Arabidopsis thaliana: one gene and its partner. The protein of the gene in region 1 interacts with the protein of each later gene in a pairwise test. Each region holds a gene or a part of one and is shown in the gene's direction. Other genes may lie near its edges.

Evidence for each region.
Region 2: the proteins of GOS11 (region 1) and CPK25 interact in a protein complementation assay, tested with the Arabidopsis thaliana proteins (one large-scale study listed by BioGRID).

Annotation. Positions count from the first base shown.
Region 1 is NC_003070.9:5,457,660-5,462,198, reverse strand, and holds GOS11 (golgi snare 11), read left to right. Parts: upstream 1-1,839; 5' UTR 1,840-2,109; coding exon 2,110-2,148; intron 2,149-2,398; coding exon 2,399-2,638; intron 2,639-2,836; coding exon 2,837-3,001; intron 3,002-3,131; coding exon 3,132-3,245; intron 3,246-3,367; coding exon 3,368-3,481; 3' UTR 3,482-3,801; downstream 3,802-4,539. Other genes in the region: AT1G15890 (Disease resistance protein (CC-NBS-LRR class) family), read right to left, coding at 1-793; AT1G15885 (uncharacterized protein), read right to left, coding at 1,104-1,229, 1,509-1,649; AT1G15870 (Mitochondrial glycoprotein family protein), read right to left, coding at 3,954-4,116, 4,211-4,533. UniProt on the Arabidopsis thaliana protein: Involved in transport from the ER to the Golgi apparatus as well as in intra-Golgi transport. It belongs to a super-family of proteins called t-SNAREs or soluble NSF (N-ethylmaleimide-sensitive factor) attachment protein receptor.
Region 2 is NC_003071.7:15,065,951-15,071,178, reverse strand, and holds CPK25 (calcium-dependent protein kinase 25), read left to right. Parts: upstream 1-1,819; 5' UTR 1,820-2,042; coding exon 2,043-2,901; intron 2,902-2,985; coding exon 2,986-3,129; intron 3,130-3,204; coding exon 3,205-3,357; intron 3,358-3,425; coding exon 3,426-3,541; intron 3,542-3,624; coding exon 3,625-3,795; intron 3,796-3,884; coding exon 3,885-4,004; 3' UTR 4,005-4,565; downstream 4,566-5,228. Other genes in the region: AT2G35900 (Mal d 1-associated protein), read left to right, coding at 607-976. UniProt on the Arabidopsis thaliana protein: May play a role in signal transduction pathways that involve calcium as a second messenger.

The DNA of each region.
Region 1 (4,539 bases):
ATAGATCATCCAATAACAGCACAAATTTCTTTACGTTGAGGATGTTGCATATGTAAGAGGCTTTCTCCTTTTCTGTAACTTGTTTCCATCCCCTGTGAAGACCTAGTCTTCCTAAAATCTGTTCTTGAATGCCTTCATTTTGCAAATCTTTAGAAACCACAACCCATATAACAAGATCAAATCCATTCATCCCTTCAAGGAATTTGTTGTTAATAGAAGCTAAGAGCGTGGTTTTACCTACTCCCCCCATACCATAAAGACCCAAAGTTCTTCGTTCATCTTTCATGAGGCTGTTCCATGCCCTTCCGACCATTGCATCCAACCCAACTGTGGTTTGGATATGCTTCTTCTCCACCTTAGGCGCAGGAATTTTCTCTGCCACCACTTCAAAAACTCCTTTAGCTAGAAGTCCTTCCACGTGTTTCAACTTTTTCAGTACATTTATTCCGTAATTGCGGCCAGATATGAAATTCTTAGAACAATATCCACAGAGACATAACCTTTCAGTTTGAATTGATTTAGCTTTCAGCAGATCATTGACTTGAGAACAAACATCTTTAACCCTTGAAAGCCAACCTTGAACTTGAGCAAGCCGTTGCAAACCTTTGTCTTCTTCTATGACAACTCTTCTTAACAGATCATCTCTTCTCTCCTCGAGCTCTTGCATAGTATTCTGCAGAGCCTCGAGATTAGCCTCCATCTTGAGAATGTAATTCCGATCACCAAATAAGCAGCCACAAGCATGATTCAACGTTTGATCACAAGATATTTCTAGTGCTACACAGTTTCCCATCTTACTCAAACTTTCAAATATCAAGACGATGCAGGAAACAACACAAGATAAGGAGCACTGAATGGAGAAGAGGAAAAAGAGTACAATCGTGCCCTCCTGATATTGATTAGAAAATTTAAAAGTCAGACTGCAAGTTCTAATATCTTATTGAAAGTGGCAGCTTCAACGAAAAGTCAAGATGCGTGTTCAGATATCCACAAAATGACATTGACCATCAAACATTAAGAAACTATAAGATAAAGTTTTCTATCCACAAAATGATATTGACCATAAAAAAATATGAAGAGCACAACTATCTTTCAACTTTCAACTAATGTAACACTCTGCTACTGTAATTGTTGCCGTAATTACTCAATTCAAGCTCATCCCTTTCTTCCTCTTCTTCAGTATCATCTCCGATATGTTCGTCAATTGTCCCTCCGCCATAAAAAATCTCCTACTTTCACCAAAAAAAATAGACCTTATTTCTCTTTGGAAAAAGTTCGTAATTCATTAAAGAGCAAACACGAAGAACTAAAGCCATTAACAACTCGAAAAATTGCATAATTTTCCCGAGCACCAACAAGTGAAAACACGATGAAATAGTAATCCACAGATTGAGTTGAGATTGATCAAAAGCAATTCGAGGAATTTCTGAAGAAGCAAACAGAAGGAAACCGAACGAGATCGAAGCAGTGAAGCAAAAGCGTAGTCAAAGCGAAAGAGAATTAGTTACCGGCGGAAGAACAAATTTGAAAGCGACGACGGGCGGCAATCGCTTGAATTGATTGTGAGGGAGTGAGACTTGAGAGTGGAAGTATATCCGAATGGAGCAGTTTGATGAGAGAACCCGGTAAGCTTCTAGGACTCGAGCCATCGAGCCGGGTCTATTTTTACTGGAGAACGATGTCGTTTATGTTAAGGTTTACTATTATCCACGTATCGCTTGCAAGTTTGACTAAATGTGTAGGTCAACTTATATATAAACTTACTGTAGGGTGGAAAACACTGGATTATACCCGCCGAATCTCAGGTCATCGAATTAATTAATTTGTGATTACGCAAAACTGAAAAGCAATTTTCCGTTGAAGGGGTACGCAGAAATTCTGTCTGCGTCTCCGAACCAACTCTATCCTTCTCTCAATCCGATCCGTTCCGTTCACTACTTGTCTCAATTTCGAACCAATTGGATCGCATCTTTTAGGGGCTCAAACCTTTGGTGACGAGGACGAGGAAGAAGATTGTCGCATCTGATTTATATCGGAAAAAGGTCTCTTGCCGGAAAGGACACGATCCGCTTTCATAAAGGAGAGATTTTGACAGATTCAGTAGACGCCATGGATGTGCCTAGCTCTTGGGATGCTTTACGGAAACAGGTATTTTTCTTTTTATAAAATTATTGTGTCGTTTGATTCGAAGCTACTAGGTAATTGTGTTGGGGAAGCTGGTAGTGTCTGAAAATCTGTCTTGAATTTCGAATATTTGAGGTCTGAATTGATATCAATCTTCTGGGTTCGATTCGAATTGGGGAATTTATTGGTTTTGTTGGCTAATTCTCAATGATTTATCTTTTTACTGGATCCAATTGATATTTGAATAAGCTTTGTGTTGTATTGAATCCCACAGGCTAGAAAGATTGAAGCTCAGCTTGACGAGCAGATGCATTCATATCGTAGACTTGTTTCCACAAAGGCTTTATCAAAATCAGATGGTAATGAGAGTGATCTTGAAGCTGGGATTGACTTACTTCTTAGGCAACTGCAACAAGTTAATGCTCAGATGCAAGCATGGGTATCTTCTGGTGGGTCAGAAATGGTCTCCCATACTTTAACTCGACATCAAGAGATCCTTCAAGATCTGACACAGGTACTGTTCCTTTCCTGACTCATACCATTTGAATATTTGCCTTATTCTATAGCTTGTGTTGATTATATACTGATTAGTAATGAAATGAGTGTTATCTTTTTAACCATCTGTTCACACTCTGCTCTTGGACTAGTTTATGACTCAACCTTCGTTGTAAATCAGTCTTGTTCCTGTATGTATGACTCATTCAAAATGCAGGAGTTTTATCGACACCGCTCCAGTCTTAGAGCAAAACAAGAGCATGCTTCACTTCTTGAGGACTTTAGAGAATTTGATCGGACTAGATTAGATTTAGAAGATGGATATGGGTCTGAACAAGCCCTGATCAAGGAACATATGGGAATCAACCGCAATACAGCTCAGGTATATAAACTCTCCTTTGCGATTAACCTTTGTTAGACTCTACAGCTGTAGCGTACAATAGGCCTGGCTTTCTCAAGTTAATCGAACACGTCATGACTTATGTGAGCTGACTATTATATAAACGGTGCAGATGGACGGTGTCATTTCACAAGCTCAGGCAACACTCGGTACGCTTGTGTTTCAACGTTCAACTTTTGGAGGCATCAACTCAAAGCTTAGCAATGTCGCCAGCCGTCTACCTACGGTACGAAGAGCTTTCCTAGTCTTATTTACACACTCTTTTGCTCGTTGCTTTCTTTATGTTCGGTTATGGCCTGTGTTTATCCTATATCTCACCCTGCAATTGGATGGTTAAAACCACTGCAGGTGAACACTATTCTGGCAGCGATAAAGAGGAAAAAGTCGATGGATACAATCATTCTTTCACTCGTTGCGGCTGTATGCACATTTCTCATATTCATTTACTGGATAACCAAGTAGAATTTGCCCATTTCTTTCGTTTCATCTTTATGTTGGGCCACGTCTGGTTTTCCCATGATGTCAATTTGTTCTGCAATTATCGGTGTTCTAGTAAAGAATCTAAAGATCAAAAACATAAATATTGTGTACAGAAAATTTCATCCCTGTCTTTGCAGTCTAGACGAGCTTGTTAAATGTTGAGTTATTTTGGAGATGCCACACATACAGTACAACCATCTGTTTCTCTCATCTTGTAACTTTTTATTTGTGGGAGTATGTTGCTGCATTGAAAAGGGTACATGGCGCCTACATGCAATACGGCTTTAATATAATCATTATCATATATATGCTCGCAACTAATCCATATTAGATTTAAATGTCACATTACCTCTGGAAACTAAGAACCATGCCAATAAAAGTCCATCTAAGCCATATAATCATATATCCAAGGGAACATTCATTGGCTGCTTAAGAATGTGGTCGGCAGAAGATTTTATTTTTGCTCAACATAAGATTTAACAGTCTCCATCCATCTAATATACTCAGCTTTATCTTTGTTCTTCATGTACTGATGCAAGAACTCAGCAAGATCATCACTTATACCTCTTTCCTCCAAAAATCGATAAACCGAGTCTTGAAGTTCATCTTCCATTTCCCTGTAAAATTGAACAAAAGACAGTTTAGTTCCATCGTATCAGAAACAAAAAGAAAATGTTTATGTTTAAAAAAGAAGTGATCAAATCACAGTACTGGAATTCAGGTCCAATATAGGCATTTGGTGAGTTCTGGCTGCTTTTACGAACAAAGAACTTGGTGATCTGTATGGTATCAGGCCAAGCAGAACACATGATCTCTAAGGTCTCACCATCACCCTTAGAGATGTTGACAATGAAAGTAATATGAAGCTGAACATCTTCAGGGTCGCTGGTAGTAGATTTTGATGATGGAACTGATCCATCAAACATGGTTGCTTCAATCTTAATATCTTCCTTCTCCCCAAATTTTCTTCTCAAGCTAATCCACTGCTCCCCCGGACGCTCATCCACCGTGAATGGACCAAAACTCTCTTCAGGCTGAAA
Region 2 (5,228 bases), on another chromosome or scaffold:
TTTTGACGTTTTTGTGGTTATGTAAAAGCTAAAAGCCAATAGTTAAAGATTGACTCTAAATTTGTGTTTCTGATGCTAAGCTTACTAATATGAATTGCAGAAAGATAGTTGTGTTTATGCACTGGAATGGTTACATTGCTTACTTCTTGTGGTTTGATGTTGTTTTCTTCGAAAGGACTCTCTATCACTGAACCATTATGGTAAAAATGTTTCATTATAAAAGTTCTTATGATTTTATCATCTTTGTAGTGTTATAACTTGCATGTTTTTTTTGGTTAAGTAAGTGGAGCAACTGCTGGTTAGTCTTTTTTGGGTTAAGTAAGTGGAGTATTCTCATATAAGAAGAAGATGCATAGAGTATCACATCACAGTTTCTGTGTATTCGGCGAGCTTCATGTTTGTTTGTTTGCTACCTGTGATATGAGTTATTCCATGTTAAATGTAATGCTTTCCTTTGGAAGACAACTCTTGTTTTCTTTCTCGCCCTTTCATGTGTGATTTTGAGATTGAGCCATTAAAATGTTCAAGCACCTTGATTGTTTGTTACCTTTCGCGCCTCTAGACAATCACTAAATCGATTTACCCTTGGTTCTGTATCTGCTTTAGGCCCTCTGAAGTCGTTCAATCCAACACAGAGCACACAGAAGAGGATGTGACAGACCAGATGGTGGGAAGATCCGCTCTTCCGAATCAGTTTGAGGATAAAAACCCGCTAAACTTCCCGGGACTCCGCAGAGATGTAGACGCCATCGAACGCCATTTCTTGAGCGGAATGAAGAGTTTCTTTGATGCGGCTGAAGAGATGACAAGCAGCTTATTTGATATCATGGGAGACCATCACCCAAGCACCAGGAGAGGAGGGATACCCATTGAAAACCATCCCAAGGTAGAGGAGCACCGCAATGACGAAACTGCCCCTACACGACCACACTCCTCTGGCGAGATTGATCTCTCGGGCTTGGCCAAGGACGTTTGAGAAAGGTCGTCTGCTTCTTCTTCTTCTTCTTTTTTTTTTTCACAAAGGTCGTCTTGTTCTAGCTTTTGGCATATATAATCTTAAAAATGTAATGTGACTTTCTAAGAAGCGTGGGGATTGTAGTCTAATGTTAGCGGCTTGCACGTTTTTCCGAGTGGGTGCTACTACTATCTATCAATATCATCATACTACTATATTACTATGTGTTATGCTTGTGTCTTTTATTATCACTTTGTCTTAAAAGTTATTTTACATTTTTAAACATGTTACCTTATACAATTCGTACCTTTCATTAAATGGTAATAAAATAATAATGGTCAAAGTAGAGTGATATGCTTGAGTGGAATTAAAGATTTGAAATCTAACCTTACGTTTTTTGAAAGATTGGTTACCATTTTGTGGCATGGAGTAATTTAGAAAATAACAAGAAATATACTTTTTTGGTCTTCAATTGAGTTTGAAGATTTTTCTTAACAATTAATTAATTACGGAGTTTAAAGGGACCAAATTGTTAATCAATGTATTCACACAGACACTAAATAATCTCTAACACAACCTCACAGAGTCATATGTTAGAGGAGAGAATCAAACAAGTTTATTTAATTGAGAAAGGCCAAAAACCCTAATAAATCCCCCCAAAAAATTCAGTCACGACGTGAGACCCAATTCCTTTTCGTCAAATCATCTTCCTTCTCAATTCCCATTTTCTTATTCTTCGTTTTTCATTTTGTGCATTGTGTGTGTTTCTTACCAAAGGAGATGATTCGTAGCATTTTGTGAGAATTGATTAAATTATTCAGCCGACCTCGAGATCTTTCTCCCTTAGATCAGAATTCATTTGTGGGAGATTTATCTGTCTTTCTTCATGGAAGTGGTTATGTTGTTAGATAGGAGAGATCTTTGTCTCTATGAGATCATGTTAAGGGTTTTTTCTCTTGCGTGAAAAGGAAGGAAAAAAAGGAAGAAAAGGGACTTTTCCTCTCTATCTTTTTACGATTCTCTGTATACGTTTCTCGTGTAGATTATTGTATAGCATATAGTTGATTGGGAGATTTAGATTGTAGAAATGGGGAATGTATGTGTTCATATGGTCAACAATTGTGTGGATACGAAATCGAATTCATGGGTTCGTCCCACAGATCTCATCATGGATCATCCCTTGAAGCCACAACTCCAGGACAAGCCTCCTCAGCCAATGCTAATGAACAAGGATGATGATAAAACCAAGCTTAATGACACTCATGGTGACCCTAAATTACTTGAGGGGAAAGAGAAACCTGCGCAGAAGCAAACGAGTCAGGGACAAGGAGGAAGGAAGTGCAGTGACGAAGAGTATAAGAAGCGAGCGATTGCGTGTGCTAACAGTAAAAGAAAGGCTCACAATGTGAGGAGACTGATGAGTGCAGGGCTACAAGCAGAGTCAGTGTTGAAGACCAAAACAGGGCATTTGAAGGAATATTATAACTTGGGTAGCAAGTTAGGTCATGGACAGTTTGGGACTACGTTTGTGTGTGTTGAGAAAGGAACAGGGGAGGAATATGCATGCAAGTCGATTCCGAAGAGGAAGCTAGAGAACGAAGAAGACGTGGAGGATGTGAGAAGAGAGATTGAGATAATGAAACATCTCTTGGGGCAACCAAATGTGATCTCCATCAAAGGAGCTTATGAGGACTCAGTGGCTGTTCACATGGTGATGGAGCTGTGTAGAGGAGGTGAGCTGTTTGATAGGATAGTGGAGAGAGGGCATTACTCTGAGAGAAAAGCTGCTCATTTGGCTAAAGTCATACTTGGTGTGGTTCAGACTTGTCATTCTTTAGGTGTGATGCACAGAGATCTTAAACCTGAGAACTTTCTCTTTGTCAACGATGACGAGGATTCGCCTCTTAAGGCTATTGATTTCGGGTTATCTATGTTTCTCAAGCCTGGTATGTTTCTTACAAAACAGAGTTTTTTTTTTACTCTCACATTAGATAGATGTTATCCTGAGATATGTGTATTGTTGTTTAAAGGAGAAAACTTTACGGATGTGGTTGGAAGTCCCTACTACATTGCGCCTGAAGTTCTGAACAAGAATTACGGTCCAGAAGCAGATATATGGAGCGCAGGTGTGATGATTTACGTGTTACTGTCTGGTTCAGCTCCGTTTTGGGGAGGTAAGATTGTTACTTTGAACACAAACTATATATGTTTTTGGAGGTGTTATAATGTGTGTTTGTTGTATCAAGCAGAAACGGAAGAAGAAATCTTCAATGAGGTTCTGGAGGGTGAGCTTGATTTGACATCAGATCCTTGGCCACAAGTCTCTGAAAGCGCAAAAGATTTGATCAGAAAGATGCTTGAAAGAAATCCCATACAAAGACTCACTGCTCAACAAGTATTATGTAAGTCCCTAGAATCATGAAACTCCATAGTTTAGGCAGTTATAAAACTTAAATCATTTTATTTTCAGGCCATCCATGGATTAGGGATGAAGGAAATGCACCAGATACACCACTTGACACAACTGTGTTGAGTCGCTTGAAGAAGTTTTCAGCAACAGACAAGCTTAAGAAGATGGCTTTAAGGGTACCACATACAATAAAACCTTTTTGATTTGTTTTAGATGATTTTGATGAGAGAATATCTGATTATTAGTGTTGGACTTGCAGGTGATTGCAGAAAGGCTTTCCGAAGAAGAGATTCACGAGCTCAGAGAAACATTCAAGACTATAGACAGTGGAAAGAGCGGGCGAGTAACTTATAAAGAACTCAAAAACGGTCTTGAAAGATTTAACACAAATCTTGACAACTCTGACATCAATAGTCTTATGCAAATACCAGTAAGTAGACACTAGTACTGTCTTAATATATATGGATTTAGTAATTAGTTTGATTCATAGTTTTTCTTACATACTGGGATCATTTTTAGACGGATGTGCACTTGGAAGACACAGTAGACTACAACGAATTCATAGAGGCGATTGTAAGACTGAGACAAATACAAGAAGAGGAAGCAAATGATCGTTTAGAATCATCAACAAAAGTGTAATGAAGTTGGCGTGAAAGATATTGTTGTTGTCTGAAGAAGTGTAATGAGTACTCAAAACTGATGATGACGAATGTAAGTAAATGTGATGCATTCACTCACTTTAGTCTCTTAGAGCTGTTGTTATAAAAGTCTCCTAATCAAAGATCTAGTGTATTTCAACATTTCAAAAAACATAATCTATATATAATCTTTATCTTGTTACACTTTAGACTGTAGGAAACTACAAAAAGAGCCACAACAAATGACTATAAGAGAGGAGGCAGAACAAGGAGAAGATGGACACAAAGAGACCTCAAGAAAGTAAGTTGATGGATAAGTTGATAGATGGAAAGTCAAATGATTTTGATGTGTAGGTTTTTTTTTGTTTTGTTTATCATGTTCTTATAAAAGTTAGAGCAAAAAAAAAAATGAAAGATGTGTTTTGTTGTATATAGAAGTTGTAGTAGAAAGGATAAGGAGACACAATAAAACTTAGGTGATGTTGATGCTCTCAATACTTTGCCTTTGTGTATTGACCTTGAGGGTTATATTAGGAATAAGAAGAGTGATTATGTAACCCCCAAACAAACTTAATTTAGAAATAGTAGCCATTATCTTAAGCATGTTATCTCAAAACAACCATATAGTAAAATGTTTGGACGAATCCTGAATGATTGCAACGTGCATGAAAACATTGGAAAGCATAAAAATCTTGGAAAGAAGGGTCCAAAAAGATCTGACGGTGGAGAATTCAGACACAAGCCTACGTGGACGGAACAGTCATTTCTGGTCGAGACAGCTCACGCGCGGCTGGCGGCGAAAACATGGGACCCAAACGTGAAAACCAATCATGTGGAACGGTCTCGACACGTCAGCAATAACGGACGAAGTAATGGGGTCCACACGCGGCGGGTATGTCGTGGGGCTTATGGTTCGCTGTAACGGAGACCCTCTCCTCTCTCTCTTCTTCTCTCCCACGTTCTCCAAACACTTCTTCCTCAATCATTTGCTTTCTATTTACCATTATACCCCTTTATCACTCACTCTTTTGACCACATTATTGACCCTTTTTTTGTTGATTGCAACATAAATTTAGCAACCTAAACATTGGGAGTTTAGACTTTTAAGTATCTTGAGTATCTGTGATTATAGGGTGGGAAATCTACTGATTAGTTGTCTTATAATTTTAATTAATTTGAGTTCATTAGTGAGCGAGAGAGTGATAAAAAAAAGGTCAAAGACCTA